Linked DNA regions of Mus musculus: all the other regions are reported to be linked to region 1. The links are microRNA targets in miRTarBase. Many come from high-throughput screens and were not tested one by one. Region 1 holds a microRNA gene; each other region holds the end of a gene's coding sequence.

Region 1 (3,083 bases):
TGCCCGTTGTATTTGTAGAAGGAAAGAAGGTGGGGGGAGGCATAAAAGAAGTATGCAAGCAGCAAACAGATGAGATATGATGCACAGACCTCCTGTCCTTCTCCATGCAGATCAGGCTCACCTTCCCCAAATCCTTGCCCGGGTGCATTGCATACAAATAGCATTTTCACCCAGGGACAAAGGATTAGAGAGGATGAGCAGAGCAGAAGGCCCAGGCACCTGTACCATGTTTGTGTGGTTCTGTATATAATATTTAATTTTCCTTGTCCTGATTCAGCCAAGCATCACCACCTATACCCAAGCTTGACATCCCTGATTTATATATGTATCTGCCCCCTTCCCACCATGAGCATCCTCTCTCAGAGAAAACTTCTACGTATACAAAATGGTATCTCTCCCAGATCATACTTGAGAATTTGTGGGGGCCTGATTTATGTTTGGAAGGTAGCAAGAAGGCTGGGATCTGAGAATGCATATACATACTGAAAGAGGGCACAGTGGAGGAGGATACTCCATTCCTTTCCAATGCCTTTATACAATTCAAGCTTTGTGGAACAGGGGTTATCACTGGATGTAACAAACGGGTTGCCTGAGTAGCAGCACCTAATGTGTGCTCCTCATCACATGATCTGACACTTAGCAAACTGGGAATCAAGAAAGCTCATGCTGAGAATAGAAGCATGTCTACCAAACATGATAAAGACCATTTTGCTGTTAGAAAATGTGTAGAACCAAGTCTGACAGCTAAAACCAAAATCAAATGGTGGCCAGGAGGAGGGAAGGTGGCAGGTGAGATGTGCAAGTATGGGCCATTCTACACGCAGACAAGGCTCAGCCTCTTTGAATCCTTGAACAGGTGTGTTGCACTGAAGCAGCATTCACACCTAGGTTCCAAGGATTCGAGAGGGGGAGCAAGCAAGAAGGCTCAGGAACCTGCCCTTCCTGTGTGTGGTCAATATGCTTGTGTGCAACACACTAAAAGAGAACGAGAGATGCGCTCTGTCCTTTACAAACACAAAGGTCTGGCTCTCAGAATCCTTGCTGAAGAACACTCTCACCCAGGTAGCAAGGATCAGAGAACTGAAGCAGGGCAAAAGGCTCACAGCAAATGAACGCATGGGCTCACCTTTGACACAAGGTGCTTATCTGTGATGAGAAAGAAGACAATGTTCTTGAGCTTCACATTAAGTATGTCTAGGCACCTGAGTTCAACTCCCAGCCTCCACATAAAAGAGCCAAGCGTGAGGACTCAAAGAAAGCTAGATCCCTTGGCCTAACTGGTGAGTGCCAAGTCCCTATTAGAGACTGTTTCAAAAAACAGGGTAGATGTCCCCAAAGGGGAAGCACCTCAGGTTGACCTCTGCACCCTCCACACACATACACAGAAAGAGAGAGAGAGAGAGAGAGAGAGAGAGAGACAGAGTGACAGACAGACACAGAGACAAAGAGAGACAGAGACAGAGAGACAGACAGACAGACAGACAGACAGAGACAGAGAAACCTGTCTAAATATATACATTCATATTTTGTTCTGAGATTATAAAAATATAAAGCCAGAGATACAAAATACTGAAAGAAAAAAAGACAGAGAGACAGAGAGAAGAGGCCATAAGCTCACAAGATGGCAGTAGAGATTGGCATCCTTTAACACACATCAGCATCTTGTTAAAGTTACTTCAGATACCTGGAGGACTTGGTACTAAGATAACTTACAGAGGTTTCTCATTAGTGAGCTCAAGATTTTGTATTTCTAAAAGGGGCTGGGTGATGCTGGGGACCTTACCAGCATCATGGATAAGACAGAGAAACTGTGGAGTTTGGTATCTACAAACCCTGTTTCAAACCTATACTTCACCATGTACTGGATTAAAGAATCTACCTGCTTTCTCCAAGGTCATGGACTACTTCTAAAAAATGAGAATAACAAATGCTATCTCTTTAAAGAGTACCAAAAAAATTAGGTAAGATGCAAGCCTAGAGTAGGATGCAGGACCTGGCCCCTGGCTATTATTTTTACCTCTTACACTACCATTTTTGTACACATGTGTCTAAATGAATGTCCTGTTTACAATAGTATGGTCATACTCATATATGCAAAAGCCAGGTGAAGGAGGCATGAATATCAGTGACTCGGAGAATCTGTAAAAGGCAATGCAAGGACTGGCTCTCTGGTAATTCTTCTTCAATGTGCCTAAATCAACGAAGTTCACACCCCTTTCTGTGAGGGATATGAAAGACAAAATCACAAGTTTCAATCTTTCACTTTCCTACTATATGTCACAGAGAGTGAAGAGAGTCAGGAGTAAGGAGAGAGGGGAGAAGTAGAGAAGGGGGGAGAGCGAATATAAATGAATGACAGTAAGGCATTTTTCTCTATGAGAAAACAAGTGTATCAAACAAAAGAAACCTTCTATGCTCACGGGCCTATATATGATGTACACCTAGCTATAGATGGGCTTCATTCATATTTGTTCTCCTATCTACCCAGCTGATGCAAAAGCATATCTATGACTGTCTAGGTATGTGTTTACAAAAATGTCAGTGTTAACAAACAAGTATACCTTCCTATAACAGCTCCGTCAAAGATGAAAACCAAGAGAGCCCACTACCCTTCCTTAGAGGTGTAAGAGAACAAGGTTAGGGGAGCAGGACTCTGTTCCTGCTAAGCTGTCAGTGGGCCTCTGCATTTGAAGGTTGCCTATGTGTGCTGAGAACGTGATGAATCAGGTTTGACACTTAGAAAGTGGAGGCTAAAGTAAGGAAGTGCATCCTGCAGCTTCTCAGGCATGTATATGTGATCGTACACAGTGAGAATGATTTTCATCCTCCTGTATGCACATGCTACAAAGACTGGACTGCCCAACTTACCACTGGCTCCACATATCAGCACACTATCATACAATCAGAACTATAGTCACATACTACATGGTGTTTGGTAAGCCACAAACTACATATACAATAGTAGTCACATAACATTTCATCACCTAGTAATCCTTATTAGTTTAACTATACACTCCCATGGTGGTTTAATAAAAATTGCCCTCACAGGTTCATATACTGGAGTGCTTGGTCCCTAGTAGGTA
Region 2 (3,083 bases), not on the chromosome of region 1:
GCACTGATGAAACCCACAGGAAGCTCAGCCTCAGCAGTTTGGCTGGTCGGGAGTGCAACATCCAGTCTTGATCCCCACCCCTTGTCTCCCAGTCTCCATTTGTAGAACAATAAGTCAGTGTGATTTCAGACCTGATTCTGTGTTATATCAGCTCAGCAGCCCCTGACAGCTGCCCATACATTACCATCACTGATGGAACACTCCTAACCACCCTGGAAACACATACACACACACACACACACACACACACACACACACACACACACACACACACACTCATCACACTCTCTCTCACACACACACACATACACACACACTCATCACACACACACACTTGCCACACACTCATCACACTCTCTCACACACACACTTGCCACACACACTCATCACACTCTCTCATACACACACTTGCCACACACACTCATACTCTCACACACACACTTGCCACACTCTCACACACACACACACACACTCACACATACTCTGACACATACCCACACTCACACATCACACACACACACTGACTTCACCTTGTCCAGTGGAGTGAGCTTTAGGCAACCTTTCACTTTCTGTAGTCACCTGCCTGTTCTGAAATGTGTGGTGTGACTTCTCTCTGCAAACCACAGCAGTCCTACCTCTAGGAACTCTCCTCCCCAAGCTGCCCCTTGCCCATCCCCCACATCTTCCCAGAGAACTCAAAAGGTGGTGCTGAGAAACAGAACACAGAGAGAGAGACAGACAGACAGACAGACAGACAGACAGACAGAGACACAGAGACAGAGACAGAGAGACAGAGACAGAGAAAGCCCAGTACTCCAACAGTCTCAACCCAAAGAGAACAGTGGACCAGTGCTGGCAGCCGCTCATTCCCTGAGAGCCCTTCTTGTTCTCTGACAGCCTCCTTCCACCCCAAGCTGTTTCAGCTCCAGGCAGGAGCTGAGAAACCCCGGATCAGGGGCTAGGGCAAACACCCGGAAAACTCACTTGATCACCAGGCAAATGCCCAAGGAATCCCAAAAGCTCCTTCTGTGGTGGTTTCCGCCTTCAACCCTCAGCTTCCTTCCTTTGTTGTCCCCTGACTTCCCACCCGACCCCAAAAATCTCACCGAGTCCTGTTCAAATCGATTATTTTATTGACAGTTTACATACAGAAGCATTTAGAAAAGGACATGGGCTCCGGGGTCAACTCCTCCCCGGGTCACCCACGTTTGTGCTGCACTTCGCCCAGAGCCAGAGCCAGAGCCTTGGTCCAGACGCCTGAAACCCCACCCCCTGACCTTTTCCTAAAAGAACTAAAACCCCACCCGAGTCCCCTCGCCACTCCCGCCCTCTCCCTCCCTCCTTCCTCGTCCACCTGCCCACCCGCTCCCCATCCCCCACCCCCAGCTCCGCTACACTACACCGGCACACTTTACGGACACAGAAGTCTATAGCCCACGCTCGGCGGGGACTACACGCTGAGCAAACTCTATATTCCTGGGGTGAGGGGAGACGTGGGGAACTAGGGTGTCCCTCCCGGGCTTCGCAACCCCCCTGCTGCCTCGGTCAGGCCTGAGGCAGGCCCATTCGTGAGATGCGCCCGGGAGTCACAGCTCCCTGTACCCACCAGCACGTTCCTGCTGGGGTCTGAACCCCATGGAGTAGCAAGAGTCACTGTGGCACGCACCAGCCTCTGGCATCTGCAAGACATTGACGACGAAACTGGCCCGGGAACCAAGGCCGCACCCTGCGAGGAAAAGGGCGCGCAGTTCCGGAGCGCTTGAAATTAGGAGAGAGCCGGAAGCAAAGAGATTCCGACACTCACACCTGACACACTCACACCCAATTTCCCAGAAGGTGGGAAGGGGGTATTAGCACCAGACCCAGAAATGTCGCTGCTTTTTAAAACAACGAAAATAAGAAAATCAGTGCGCTGAGTTGAAAGGCCTACCAGGACCCCAGTTTGGCTCCAACTAGACAGAAATGGGGTGGGGTAGGAATGGGGAGGGGGGACGCGCGGATTTGGATCATTATAGGAAAGGAGCGGTGAGAATAAAAATTAGCGGGCTTCTGGCACATGCATCCTTGAAAAGGCAGAGTGGGATCAAAGTGAGAGTCACAGCGCTCCACGCTGGGGACCTGTCCTGGGGATCCCAGGCAAACGCTGGACCAACCCTATTATTATCACCAAATGTGGTCAACGACTGGCGTGGCGCTCTCCCCTTGTCTCCAAGTTCCACCAGATGGGGTGCGCGATGGGTTTCGTGGATCGCCGTGATGAAATGGAAGGCATAGACGGTTTCTCGCCGCCCATGGGTGGTGTCTTAGAGGAGGTAGGAGCCTGACTCTGTGCTTTGGGTGGGGATGGGGATTCAAGCCCACCAAAAGAATGACCCCTGAATTCGGCCCACTCCTAGAAATCCCTAGTAGTGACCCCTGGGGAGGGCTAAGGAGGCAGAGTAACTGAAGGCTTGGGGGGTAGGGCGGAGTCCCGCGAGGGTGTTAAAGTCCTGCCGTCCCTAGGCTACGAGGTACCCAAGGTGGAGGTGGGCAGGCCAGGCGTGCTGGGGGCTCAGCCCGCTGTCTGCCTGTAGTTGCCGTTTATTTCCTGGGCGATGTTGACTGCTTCCGCTCCCAGGGGCAGCCGATCGCTGTACTCCGAGCCAGCCTCGAACTCCTCTTGGTTGGCCTTGGACTGAGACTCCACCAATGAGCAACCCGCCAGGCTTTCCTCTCTCTGAAGGTCCCCGCTTGGGTCCCCCTGCTCCACATCTTCATCCAGGCCTTCCTCCGGGACCTCCTCTGGCTCCTCACCTCCCGCCTCGCCACGAGCAGGGTAGCTTTTCTCAGACTCAAGGTAGGAAGCACGCGGATCGAAATCGGCCGCGATGCGTTTCTCCATAGGGTCCGGGGCCTGTGGCCTCAGGATTAAACGGTAGGGTTTGCCCGGATGTTTGGCCAGCAGATGGCAGCAGGCGGCACCCAGCAGGGGCACGGTGGCCAGCACCAGGAGAAAAACACTCACGGTCACGATAACCAGCAGGGACGGCAGTTCTTTCTTGGTAGAAAACACCACCTGCACGTGACACGCCTCGCCCGCCAGT
Region 3 (3,083 bases), not on the chromosome of region 1:
CACACTCCCAAAGAGAAACGCCTCCTTCCTCCCTAGCAGCCATCAATTGCCAGTAGCTCTTTTCAGCTAGATGTGAAGTTTCATGAGTCCCTCTCTTAACCATGAAGGAATGTTGATTGGCTTAACCTGCCCTGAACCTTTCAATTTGTCTATCCTTGCATTAGTCCTTGTGTGCTTGGAGGGCCAAACTAGGGAACGGGGAGTGATTTTCTACTGCTTCAAGTCCATGATCTCTGAAGTGTCTTTTGCAGTGTATATTAAGTTAAATTGATTATTTACTTATTTCTTCCCTGATGCACAATTAGGTAATCTAAAATAGGATTCCTTATGTTGTATCTGTGGATTACTTTTGAAATTTAACATATCTTTTAGTTTTTATTTCTTAATTTAAAATGAAATTATTAAAAACAAATTGAAGCAGTACTTGAACATTCTATGGTAGAGTAAACTTTATAATTATTTTGTTTTCATCTTTCTCCCATCAGGTTTCACCAAACCTCATGCCAATGCAGCAGATTTCAACTTGAAGCATCCACTGAACATTTGTCCCAGGCTGCCAAGATTGCATTTTCAACACATAGGATTTAAACGGAAGGATGTCAGTAATCAATAGTTACATTACACATTTAGCAAGAAGTTTCGGCTAGTTTTCTTCTAGTATTTCTGGATTTGTGCAGCCATAGACATTGTTCTCTCCATCGTGATATATCAGTTCCGTGGGAAAAAAAAAAAAAAAAAGGAAAACATTTTATTGTGGTCTTGCTTCATGAGTGCTAAGAAGGTTGTCTTTATCATTGTTGCTCACAGTGGATATATGCTCATCTTTTATGCTATATGTATTAAACCTCGACTTAGCCCTGAAGGTGAATTTTCATGTGCATTTGTGATTTGGTAGAATACTTTTTTGATGACTATGTATCTTTTACCTTCCTCTGTTTTGAGAGATGCCAGTTATGCTTGCTTTCTTAGAAAGTCCTCCTTCCCTCCACACTTCTTATAGCTAAATAGATACTCGAAAAAGCGAACAGGAATGTCCCTGTGAAAAGTAAGTAGAAGAAAGGACAAGGCATATGCTCTGCTGGTGCTGACATCCCACTAAATGTTGCCTTTAAAGACAACCAACCGTCTACCTATGGTGTGCTATACCTTTGTATTCTGAAGACTGTTTTTCTGTATTGATCACCAATGTTTACTTATACATCTCTTGAGCAAAAAAAGAACCATGGGCAATTGATCATGAGTCCTGAATCATAGTGACAGCAGTATTTAAAGAGATGATATTCCAAGATATCTCCCCTTTAGCCTCTCCATTCTGCTCAGCAAAGATTGTAAACACTGAGTTACTTTTTTACACTACAGTGGTATTCTGCATAGGTTAGTTCTCTTCACAAAGGGCTACTGCTTTAGCCTTATCTGTGCTGGGGAAATGATGGGAAAGGCTCAGATCTGAGTGGCTAGCAGGGTTTGTGTGGCAGAGTGAATGCAGTAGCTTGCATTCATCAGGGATGCTTCCTCAGAAGTAGCCACAATACAGACAGTTGCCAGGGGGCATCACTCCAGAAGCTTCCTTGCCTTGGTATCAGATATCTGAAAACCTAGGCACCCTGAAGCCAGACTGGACAGCTGGCGTCTGCACAGTGAAACGTATCGTCTTTCTGGCACTAATTAGAGGAATTTATACACGTCTTAGGTGATGGTTGGCACTGGAACTCACTCCTCAAGCATAACCACAGTTAGCTTGCACATGTTGTGAAGGGGAGATAAGCTTTTCCTCCATAGTACACCCTCTAGGTAGGACTGCTTTAGTGGATGGCCACGTGGCTGAAAGCATCCTCTGCCAGTGTTGGTAAGAAGAACCCGTCTTAGATGGTACAAGGCCCAGGAGAGTACGTATGTTAGAGCACACATTTGAGAAATCATCTTGCTGATATTGATATGTCTTCAGGCGCACTTGCTTATCATTCCGGTCTGTTACTTTAACGCAAGGGGCTTCTAAGAATGTCTTAAACTTCAAAGCCTGAATAGACAACTTTCTAAGAGTGCCATGATATTTTTTAAAAAATGTGTTAAATGACACAATAAAAATTGCAAGTTGATGGAGACGAATGTGTGTGTCCTCTTATTTGGGAATGGTGCGTGAGAAACACCTCAAAGGTTGATTCTAACAACCATTGGTCATTAGGTCAGCAGGCTTCTACTTCTACCACGTTGTTACCGTCTCTGTCTCTTTCTTTTGTGGGGAGGGAGTGTGGAGACAGGGTCTCTCTGAGCAGTCCTAGCTGTCAAGGAACCCATTCTACAGACAGACTGGCCTTGAACTCACAGAGGTCCACATGCTTCTGCTTCCTGAGTTCCAGCATCAAAGGCACCACCATGCCTGGCATTAGATTTGCTTTTTACCTTACCTAATACATATATTTCTTTTTCTAGAAAGTGAAAGAAATATTACTTAATTGAATTCTGCTCTACCTTTCGCCCCATCACTGAGACCCATACCTCTGAAAATTGATTATCAAGCCTCCATATATTAATTTTTATATGACTTTTTCTTTATGTATATTTTTTGTGTGTTGCTATCTCTGCATTTTGTTTTATTTATTTTTTATTTTTTTATTTATTTATTTTTTTTTTATTTTTTTACTACCCCTTTTTGGCCCTGCCGTTCCCCTGTACTGAGGCATATAAAGTTTGCAAGTCCAATGGGCCTCTCTTTGCAGTGATAGCCGACTAGGCCATCTTTTGATACATATGCAGCTAAAGACAAGAGCTCTCGGGTACTGGTTAGTTCATATTGTTGTTCCACCTATAGGGTTGCAGTTCCCTTTAGCTCCTTGGGTAATTTCTCTAGCTCCTCCATTGGGGGCCGTGTGACCCATCCAATAGCTGACTGTGATCATCCACTTCTGTGTTTGCTAGGCCCCGGCATAGTCTCACAAGAGAGAGCTATATCTGGGTCCTTTCAGCAAAATCTTGCTAGTGTGTGCAATGGTGTGAGCATTTGGAAGCTGATTATGGGATGGATCCCTGCATATGGCAATCACTAGGTGGTCCATCCTTTCCTCACAGCTCCAAATTTTGTCTCT
Region 4 (3,083 bases), not on the chromosome of region 1:
TTCTTTCCAGCTTCTGGCTATTATAAATAAGGCTGCTATGAACATAGTGGAGCATGTGTCCTTCTTACCGGTTGGGACATGTTCTGGATATATGCTCAGGAGAGGTATTGCTGGATCCTCCGGTAGTACTATGTCCAATTTTCTAAGTTTCTCAATCACAAGCACTGTATTTGACAAGTGGGACGCCATTAAAGGTAGAATACATAACATGTCTTAGGGACAAAGGGATGATTCATGGACCAGGTGACATGATACAAGATTTCATTACAAGACTCAATTAAAACTTACCAATTGTGGAGTTCTAGTAATATTCATTTAATATTTTTAGACCACAGTTGACTGTGTGTTTTCTTTTTTAAAGTGTCTATTTATGGTTTAGTTTTACATGTAACCTAAATACTTGTAAGAATTCTCCAATGAACTCTGAAAATTAAAAAACAAACAAACAAACAAACAAACAAACAAACATTTTCACCTGTTATTCCATAGCTGTCTTTGGCAGACCTGGCAAGGGATTTACTTTCAAGAATTTCTACTCTATGAATTATTACTCAGTATTATTTACTTCTCATAATACCATGGATGCTTCATAACTTAACTTATTGGTAGAGAGAAAACTACAGAAAAAGATATTTTCCCTATGTGGTTACATCATGCTTTTTTTAAAGGACTTAATCATGATCTATAAGCAATTTTTTTCTAGTAACAACATCAATCAATCAATCAATCAATCTTTACTAAAATGTCTCCCTTGTGACTGTAGCTTCCCATAGGTAAATACTCTATTTCTCTATATTTCTCTATTAATCTAAGTTATTTCTTCAAATACTGTTAAGGAATTTGAGATTCAACAACTTATAACTGAAGTCTACATCTCCATCATTTAAACAGTTTTCCTTAAATTCCTTCTTGATATATTTTAAACTTTTCCTTACCATCTTTTCTTCTGGTTTCAGCCCTATTTCTTCTAAAAATATAAATTATGTTAGTATTCATCAAGGATTACTTTACAAACTAATTTGACCCTGGATATTATTTAGGTCAACACTTCCTTCTTCTTCTTCTTCTTTTTTTTTTTTTTTGTTTGTTTTTTGAGACAGGGTTTCTCTGTATAGCCCTGGCTGTCCTGGAACTCATTCTGTAGACCAGGTTGGCCTCGAACTCAGAAATCCGCTTGCCTCTGCCTCCCAAGTGCTGGGATTAAAGGCGTGCACTACCAACGCCCGGACAGTTCCTTCTTTTTAATCCTAGTAGGCATTTAGAAACCATCCTGTATAACCATCCTTTATCTACACAGAGATCTAAATTGAAACTTTACAATCATTTTCATGACAAGAGAAAAAGATTCAGAATTTTATTTTGGATTTCAGTCTCTTCTTCAGATTTAGGTTTCAAAAGGATCACATTCCAATAAAAAGACTAAATATATGATCAAAACTAATCTTACTACTAAGTATAAATTTCTCTAAATGAAAAATCAAAGATTATAACTATAATGTAATTTTTATGTTAATAATCATATCCTTTTGTTTACAGACTTTGCAACCTTATTTAGGAACATTAATGTTTATTTCTATTATCACATTTAGTTATTGTGTATGTGTATTTGCATATGGAGGTCAAGGCCAAAGGATAACTTTTCTTTCTTTTGACTATGTGGATCCTACATATTGAACTCAGATAGTCAGGGTTAGCAGCAAGTAATTTACACTACTGAACAATGTCATCAGCTGTAACCTTTATTTTATAAAGAACAAAATGGTAGCAAATTTGCAAATAATCTCTCTCTTTTACTGGTAATTAAAAATTCTAATCTCAGAGACCAGACTTGATGAAATTATTATAAGCATATATGATAGATCTGTTAATATTCATGTGGCCAGAATAAATACCCATTGATTTTGTGTTTGTTTGGGGGTGCAGAGAGGCAAAATTTAAGCCATCAAAGAACTCAGATTATTTCAGGCAGGCTCCTATTTACAGAAAAGATTCAACAACAACAATAACAACAACAACAACAGCAACACATTTTTAAGTACTGTAAGAAATGTATTAATATAATAAAACTTCAGTTTTAAGCCGTGATTCCAAATGATTTGGTTACCAATGCTGATTACGGTGTGCCATGGAAAATGTCTCTCATAAAAGTACTCCTAACAAAAGATACTTTTAAAATAATATGTTTAAGGCCAAGTATAGAGACTACTCGGTGTACTTCAGGCTTTCATTGATAAAGTAGCAAACACTACAATGATATTATCCTTTGGTTTTATTTTCTGGATATAAAAAAGTCTAGACATGTTTTTAGATGGACTTCTTAACAACATCCTTTAAGAAAACTTACCAGATGGCTTATTACATTTTTCCTGATATCATGTTTCATTAGTGTCACTGTCAGCCTTGATTAATTGATTCAAATTTTCACAGTATAATAAGCAACTTTTGTGCATCTTTTCCCAGTCCCTGAGAATCACAATCATCACAGAAGACTTATATCCAGTTACTGAAAATCTCTGGAAAGCAGTGGTGTTCTTTCATTGTTAACAGGGCAAGGAACAGTGTCATAGAGGGTTAATCCATGTAAATTGGCTTCCACCCGCAAAGTAATTTTCTGGAACAGAAAAGAAAATTATATAGAAAAGTTTTGCCCTTCTGAGAGACTATCTCTTCACTGTGTGTCACAGGAACCCTTATGTAGTCAGAAAAACAAAATGATCAGATGGGGAACAGGAAGTCTCTGCCACAGGCACCATCCTGAGCACCCAGGGAAATGGAAAAAAACACGTTCTTGCCTCACTAAGTTTCCTATTTTTCTTTTGTAGTTCTTTTTTTTTTTTTTTCCCGTAAAGCCATGTGTTAGGGCTGGGTCTAGGTGAATAAACATAAATTATAGAATTTCTTCAGATATGCTTTGCAACTACATTATCAAGGGGGAAGCTTACTTGCAGCACACAACTTCCTCAAACCCAGGAATAATTTTACCAGAAGTTACTCTTATATCACATTCTTTGGTGCCAGATTTTAAAATGCTAATTTTCAAAATGAACAGGGAGATTGTCAATGAAATATTCTGTTATTCTATA

The links. The annotated mature microRNA mmu-miR-362-5p reads AAUCCUUGGAACCUAGGUGUGAAU and lies in region 1 at 877-900, opposite strand. An mRNA with a match to its seed (bases 2 to 7 or 8) in the 3' UTR can be bound and repressed. Matches are read on the target gene's strand: a 7mer-m8 pairs with bases 2 to 8, a 7mer-A1 pairs with bases 2 to 7 and ends in A, and an 8mer does both.
Region 2: the mRNA of Islr2 is a reported target of mmu-miR-362-5p. Seed matches in the 3' UTR shown: 7mer-m8 at 2,061-2,067.
Region 3: miRTarBase lists Oxct1 as a target of mmu-miR-362-5p. The part of its 3' UTR that is shown has no 7-base or 8-base seed match.
Region 4: the mRNA of Dram2 is a reported target of mmu-miR-362-5p. Seed matches in the 3' UTR shown: 7mer-A1 at 2,258-2,264 and 7mer-A1 at 1,520-1,526.

Annotation. Positions count from the first base shown.
Region 1 is chrX:7,241,143-7,244,225 of GRCm38, forward strand. It overlaps Mir362 (microRNA 362), which reads right to left and starts at 904; the gene lies at 840-904. All of the region lies in intron 2 of Clcn5 (chloride channel, voltage-sensitive 5), which reads right to left. It overlaps Mir501 (microRNA 501), which reads right to left and starts at 209; the gene lies at 101-209.
Region 2 is chr9:58,195,187-58,198,269 of GRCm38, forward strand. It overlaps Islr2 (immunoglobulin superfamily containing leucine-rich repeat 2), which reads right to left. Exons shown (of 3, transcript NM_177193.5): 3 at 1,111-3,083. The coding sequence ends at 2,552. Among named protein-coding and RNA genes, the nearest start is that of Islr2, 5.6 kb to the right of the region's middle.
Region 3 is chr15:4,153,243-4,156,325 of GRCm38, forward strand. Oxct1 (3-oxoacid CoA transferase 1) reads left to right here. Exons shown (of 17, transcript NM_024188.6): 17 at 486-2,102. The coding sequence ends at 527. Among named protein-coding and RNA genes, the nearest start is that of BC037032, 130 kb to the left of the region's middle.
Region 4 is chr3:106,573,103-106,576,185 of GRCm38, reverse strand. Dram2 (DNA-damage regulated autophagy modulator 2) reads right to left here. Exons shown (of 9, transcript NM_026013.3): 9 at 845-2,611. The coding sequence ends at 2,501. Among named protein-coding and RNA genes, the nearest start is that of Cept1, 27 kb to the right of the region's middle.